Linked DNA regions of Drosophila melanogaster. The protein of the gene in region 1 interacts with the protein of each later gene in a pairwise test. Each region holds a gene or a part of one and is shown in the gene's direction. Other genes may lie near its edges.

Evidence for each region. The genes of interacting proteins can lie anywhere in the genome.
Region 2: the proteins of AMPdeam (region 1) and pHCl-1 interact in a two-hybrid assay, tested with the Drosophila melanogaster proteins (one large-scale study listed by BioGRID).

What each region holds. Positions count from the first base shown.
Region 1 is NC_004354.4:13,837,883-13,841,637, reverse strand, and holds the start of AMPdeam (AMP deaminase), read left to right. Parts: upstream 1-1,626; 5' UTR 1,627-1,867; coding exon 1,868-2,072; exon of another isoform or gene 2,073-2,076; intron 2,077-3,539; exon of another isoform or gene 3,540-3,653; coding exon of another isoform or gene 3,654-3,755.
Region 2 is NT_037436.4:15,896,959-15,900,713, reverse strand, and holds the start of pHCl-1 (pH-sensitive chloride channel 1), read left to right. Parts: upstream 1-1,793; 5' UTR 1,794-1,882; intron 1,883-3,755.

The sequences.
Region 1 (3,755 bases):
GTTTGCATATCGCACACTCGGCAAATAAGGCAAATGAACTGACAATGACTTGCAGACATGGCGAAAAGCGCACAATACCACCAGGTTGAACAAACCAATTGGCCTATGAAGCTATCAAAGAAAAAAGAAAAAAAGCTGAAAAAACTTCACATGGGTTATTAACAACCCACCGCTAACCACCGATACCGATACTCCATTGCCAATTCCAATTCCAATTCCAATTTTGGCTCCCATCTGGGGGCTATTGATAAGCCACTTCTGACAGGGCGTTAAACAAATCGAGCCGAGCCCTCCTAATAGAGGAAAGTTACCAGACTAGAATACGGAATAGCAAACTACGAATTTGAAGTGGTGTGTCAAGGAGGCAGCCTTATCGTACTTATCACTTGTCGATCGATTCGATCGAAACATCGCCAAAATGGATCATTAATTTGGTGGTCTACAAGTATTATGCAGAAATTATGTATTTGACAATGATAAATGAGCATATAGGTGGTTTCAAGTTGAGAAATAACCAATTCCATAATCAATTTAAAGAGTGGCACAGTATAATGCATTTTTGACCAATAAGGTCCGCCTTTTGGCCAAATTATTTATACAAATTTACCTAAAATGATGTATCGTACCTCGCTGAGTTTGAAAAGTAGTTTTTCATTTAGTATTTCAATATAAAAATTCTAAATTGTTGCCATTTTCGCAAATTTTGGGTTACAAAAATGGTAAAATTTTGAATTTGGGTATAAAAATAATCCATTTTTTGACCAAAACTTGAAAATTAGTGCTCCAAATATGGAATGTCATATATCGTTGAGTTCGTAATTAAATTTCCAATCAAACTGTATTTAAAAGTTAGAATTCCATTTTTTTGCAATTTTTTGCAAATTTTGATGATGGTACCCCTTACAAAAAATGCAAAAATTTACGAAAAAATTTTTTTTCCAAAATTCGTCAAAAAGTGATAGAATTAGTTAGCATTGGTAATTAGCTGCTCAAAACAGGTATTCTTTTATCTATATGACCATTTTTACCAAAGTTATGACGAAAATTCGGTTTGTAAATATCAAATTTTTGGTAAAAGTCGTTTTTCCGAATTTCAATAAATGGAAAAACTGTTAGTCCTTTAAATCACATGCCCATTCTTAGCTAATCAGAAGAGGTTAAAGTTAGAGACGATGCCATATTGTTAATCGTCTAATTTGTACATATGTATATATCTATTTTTTTTACTGGGTTCGAAGAGCTTTGATCTTGAAAACCCCCTTTGGCGTTCCACCCATTCGGCGTGGCTATATGCAGTTTGTTTATCCAAAATATTGTTTATAATTAGCAAACATTGTGGGCTTTCCGAGCTTTGTGCCGCAGCCGTGTTTGCTAGTGACTAGAAAGCTCCCTACCAACTTTACCCGATATATAAACTTTGGATCCGCTGGGATCGGGAGAGGTGTGAAACTATATAAAGAGTGAGAGAGGAGAGAAAGCAGAGGAAAATACTGAGGCGTAGACAAAGAAAAAAGCGAAAGACAGACGCGTAGGAGATGCGCGAATTGCGTCGAACGGAATTCAAACTAAATTAAGTGCAGTCGATCGCGGGCGGTATATATATTCCACCGATCCGAACCGACAGTTGCCCAAAGACATTGCCCCAGAGCAGAATATCGAGCAGAGCGGCGACACCTGTCACCGGGGGAATTACATAAAAAACAAAACAAAAATAAAAAAAACACAAACACTCAAGATTTTCACAACACACAAATCAGTAAACATCGGAGAAAAATCGAAACAAATCAACACGAAACACTCATTTGGATTAGCCGTTAGCCAATATAGACCGTTCAGGATCCCAGGATCCAGGATCTCAATTGCCGAGATGTCGTACCGCGGAATGCTGAGCACCTCGGACGGTTCGCCCGTCGAGCTGCGCGTCCAGGATGTGGACTCCTTTGACGGATCGATGATGTCCCATGCGGCCACCAATGCGGCCGGTCCGCTGGGCAGCAAGGCCAGCGGCAAGTCCCTCAACGCCTGCACCTCCATGTCCATGCCCCAAAAGCCGAGTTCCCTAAGGGCGACATGTAAGTCGCCAGTTCCCCAGCCGCTGCCCATGTAAGTGAATGCATCGCGACGACACAAGCCACACGAGCCACACGAACCACCCAACCGCCACCCACTGACCTCGTGCACTGCGCGAAAACACAGCAGTCCAGTTGGTAGCAAAACGTATGGCCTTAAATCAATGAAGATGGGCTAACTTATTTCTTGCAAATCATCGCTTACCTATTACAATATTATACCAAGTTGAATGTTTCTTTGTACATCTCTTTCTTTCGATGTCTTTGTCTTTGTCTTTCTCTCTCTCTCTATTTTCTCTGCTGCAAAAAGAAAGCAAATGACATTCACTCTCCCACGCACACAGCAAAGCACTCTCACTCAAAACAAAAAAAAAACCTGTAGCAATAACTCACACGGTTCGCTACACTCGAAGAAATGCCTTGTGTGGATGCAGATATGATCTTTGGTTACAAGCTGTATTTAAGAACTTCTTAACTTGTTAACAATGCTTGTTTTATTAAGCAAATATTGCCCACAAGCCGCATCAGTTGCCTGAAAATTGTTTAATTCATTTATTATTGTATGTACCACTGCATTGTTTCAGTGTAGCGCTAATCCTCTGTCGCTGCGCTGCCAATCAGTCGCAACATCTCTTGAGTCGCACTAACCCATATAGAAATATAGGAAAGTTATAATACCCTGTAAAGTGGTATAGCACTTGGGTTTCTTAAGATACATACTTCAAAATATACAAAAATAAAATGATAATAAATCAGTTTAGATTGCGTCAATCAAGTTTCTGCGAATATATCCCGGTGCCTTGTGGAATAATAAGCTTTTTAGTTAAGATAATTAGCCCACTTAAATATGATTCTTTGCGGCGGGTTTATTCCTTTGATGATAGGAGATTATTGTTGTTTTTGTGACCTTGAAGTGTATTCCAACTTCGGATCGTTTTAATCAGTCTCCTCATCTAGTTTGTTGTGTTTTGAGTGCGTGTTTTGATTTTGCCAGTATTTTTGCTATCTCCGCTAATCCCTCTCTCCTCCATTTCCGTCTCTTTCGTGCTGTTTTACACTGCAAAAAAAATATAAAAGAACAATTAAAATAAATAATATTAGCTATTATAATCTATATTTGAATTATTACCAAACATCCAAGTGATCTATTCAAATGATCTTGAATATCAGTTAGTTCGGATTAATAATTTCACAGTGAATCTAAGCTTATATGTAAATATTTTTCAGTGCCCTTCTTTTTTGTAAAACTTTGTTGTTCGCCCAATTTGTAGTCGCCAATCAATTCCGTGTGGTTGTTTTCTTGGAAGTCAATGTTTTAGTTCGTTTAATTTTATTTTTTTTATTATTTATTTGTGCCTCCAAAGATGATGCGCCTCTGCTGCAGTCGCAGTCGCAGTCTCAGTCGCTGTCGCTGTCGACGTCGGTAGATCTCGGCCTGGAATTCTCCGATCTTCGACGTTTTCCAATTTCATTCAGGCGACAACTCTCGAACAAGTTACTTCACAACACAACCTTGTCTACGATCCTCCGATTTCCCGGGTTTTCTCTGCATTTTCTGTACACTTTTTCATTTTTTTTTTTGCCATGAACTTCAATCGCATGGATACCGCCCATCGGTTGCGCGTCGATGTTCGACTTTATGGGGGATCGATGGGAAATCAGCTAAATGACAAAGGCACCGCCTCC
Region 2 (3,755 bases), on another chromosome or scaffold:
TTATTACTCATTACAAAATAAACGATTCGCATACTTATTAAAATACATTTAGAGGGTAATGTTGTGTATTGTACTACGCTTTTTACGTTGTTGTTTTTGTTTTCCCCTGCGTTTCAACATAATATTGTAATATTGTAATTAGTTCTGCAAGTGATTACGGCTAAGTTAAATACTGCATTGTGCGCTTTGTTTTGTATCTTCGGATATAAGTTGAATGATTGTATTTTGTAATTTAATTTTAAGCTTGAGGAATCGCGTCTGAGGTGGATGAATTGCAGCCAGGCCGAGATCGAACCATACAAGAGATAAATATTAGAACCAACAAGTGTAAGGGAAACAACAAAACCAAACAAACAAAACAAATAAAAATAAAAACCAAACAAAGTGGCATCTGTTATTAGGTTAAAAGAATTATTGATATTGTTTGCAAGAAAATGTGTGAAATATATATAAATACAAATAAAATACCACTTAGCATAAAAACAAACCGTGAACAGACAAGCAAACAACAACAGATTGTAATTGCAATTTAAAAATAAAATTAATATTTCAAATAATAACCAAGCCGTTTTAAATAAAATGCCAATGGGAAGTTCTATGTGGTGTATGGGGCGTATGCGTAATTTTATTAAAAGTCAGCTGTGTTTTATATAATTTAAATCGATTTCATTTACTTTAATTGTTAATTGAAGTAATTTTTTTTGTTGTGAAGTTAATTTTTATTATGCAAAAACAAACTTATTTTATATATTTGTTGCCTTTTTACAAGTTACTTAAATATTTTAATTAAAAATACATACATTCTATATCACAAAATATAAAAAATATCTTAAATAAACATCTCATCATTTTTGATTGCTAGAATGCACAACCATCCCACTGTGCGACGTGCATCCGCAAAGGATTACGTCACTTGCCGCCGCGTCTCCTTTTTTTTTTTTTTTTTTTTTTTTTTTTTTTTTTTTTTTTCCATATTACGATGATGTTTTTATTATTTGATCAACGCACTGTTACCCATGCGGCAACTTAATTTGATCTGCTTAAATTATTTTATTTTACAATGTGTCTTGGTTACTTAAGACTAACAGATTTTTAATCCTAAAAATGATAGGGAGAATTATAATAGTTGATATAACATAGTAATTATTATTTATTTGATTATTCTAATGAATTTTAAAACTAAGACTTTCTAGGTCAAAACCAGGTTAGGGAGGTCATGAGGGTGGTGTCGCTTGAGTCTTCTTTTGACTCTAGTCCGAGGGTCAGCATTGACCACAGCTGCAGTTCCTAGCTTCCTTGCTAGGCTGTTGGGGTGTACATTAAGCCTTTCCATATATTTTTGGGCGATGTTCTGGAGCTTGTCTCCTAATTTGGGCACCTTGAGGTCGCGTTCGATGTCTCTTGTTCTCATATACCAAGGAGCCCCCGAGCCGCCGCGTCTCCATCGACACGGAGACTGACCCTCGGGCATCAGCTGTTTTTACGGACGAAGGATGACGGGGAGCCATAGGGGGAGCAGCGGTGCCGAGGGGTCGAAATGCCGCATGCACTGGCGGCAATCAGCTGTGAAGCTTTGGGGCACTCGGAAAGCTGCCCAATTCAAGGAGCTTCGGAGAGAGCCGGCGGTGAGCTTTGGCTCCGAACGGGAAAATAGGAGGCGACATCGAAAAGCAAGCGGCGCACCAGAGACTTTTCGGTGTTCGCCGCGCTTCGTCATCCTGCTTTTCCGCTTTTCCGAATCGAGAATGCGTGCCAAACTGCATGAAAAGGAAAACTTGGTCAGTTGAGGTCTCAGTTCGGGTCGGGTTTGCAATTCAACAGCACTGCGGAAGCGGAGAAAACTCGTCACCAAAGCGGACGGGCCAAACAATAAGCCAGCGTAGTAATATCGACTTCACACCGCCCTCGATATATATATAATATATATATATATATATATGATATTCGCAAGAAAACGGTATCGGAATGATATCCAAAAGTGCCAACCCATTGAGGGCCTAATCCAATGTGTTGGAAAATGATTGAAAATCGCGTGGAAATTGCAATGTGCGAATTGAAATGTGTATTTGTGTTTTGAATTCTTAACGCTCAACCCAAGTGTTTCCATTTTTTGCAGTGAGTGAGTGAGCGAGTGAGTTATGTAAAGCTCTGGTGTTGGGTTCTTTTCGGTCTTCGCGTTGGGTGCGGGATAGTAACCCATACCACCGCCCGCAACAATAACAACAACAACAACAATTGTAGCAACTGCACCACCAGTAACAACAAGAACAACCACAGCGAGCGTGTGAAGCGACAATAAGTGTTGCAAGATTGAGTGGCTTCAAAAAAGTGGTCATTAAAAATTAAAGCTAGAGAATTAGGATGCAAAGAATTGGGATTTCAAAACTAGGATTGTACTGGCGGTGAAAATTAAGTATACGCACCCACGGACCACTGCTAATTTATGCATGAACTTGAAAACTGAACACTTTTAGTGCATTTTGGCGTGCTAAGCGATAATAAGTTTATGATGCACTAAAAAATATTTAAAACCGTTTGAAGGTCAAGGAATAAGAACCGAATATTAGATTTAATTACATTTTTCAAATAACTAAATTGTCGGTTCAAAAAACCTTAATTCGACAATTCAAATTCTTAACTTTACTTGGTTTTGTAATACAATTTATTTGAGGAAAATATTTCAAAGAAATTTTGAGTTTTAAATATAAAATATATAAGTAAAGCGGCTCAAAAGCATTTATTCGAGATATTAAGTATACGCACCAGAGACCACAGCTTGCAGCATATAGAAATTGTAATGGCAAAAAATATAGTAAATACTCAGAACACTTTTGTTTTAAATCATATAAATGTATTTTTCAAATTTTAAAATATATAAAATAAAATATATATCTAATATATATAAAACAAAAAAATTAAATATATAAAATATATTTTTACAAATCAAAGAAAGGGTTTCCTAGTATTAGCACATTACAAGACAATTATTTAAATTTGGAAAAAGTTTTCAGACACGCAGACCCGAGTTTAAGTTTAGGAAAGGCCGCCGCAGAGCTACACTATTTTATATAAAGCCCCAAGTTATCGCAGCTTACCCCGCGTGGGTAAATCAATCAAAAACCATTTGCAGTCGCTTCAATCCCCGGCAATCAGCCCATTGAGCAAGCTTTGTGTATCATAACACAATCAGTTTGGGTATCGGCATCAATTACCAATTATAACTTGACAATAAAATCGCCAAGTGTCCGCATAAAGAGCCCAAAAGACACTCACACACACACACACACTCAGCCGCCAATCAATTCGCTTTTAGCGGTCTCCGACTATTTTTAGTTGCACTTGCTTTCCTTTTTTCTGGTTTTTGTGTTTTTTTAAGTTTATTTTACTTTGCACAATATTAGTGTCAAGGTGCAGCCAGTGCATAGAGACAGAGATGGAAATAGACTCCGTGACAGAGACGGCGACAGTCGAGCCAAAAGAGCAAGTCAAGAAAGCGCAAAAGAAACCAAGAAAAGGGGCGAGAAAATGGGAACCCCTTTTCTTGGCGGCGGCGACGACATCGCGAGAAAGCAACACACGAAAAGGTGGCTATCAAAAAATAATAACAAATACAACCACACGATGGGGAGGGGTGTGGAGTGTAGGGGCGATGGCGGTGCATTTTGGGGGTGGCAAGTGGGCGAAAAAGGGGGGATCTCCTCACGACTTGTCACATCGAACAGAAAGAAATTGAATTTATGTCTTGGGTGGGTTGC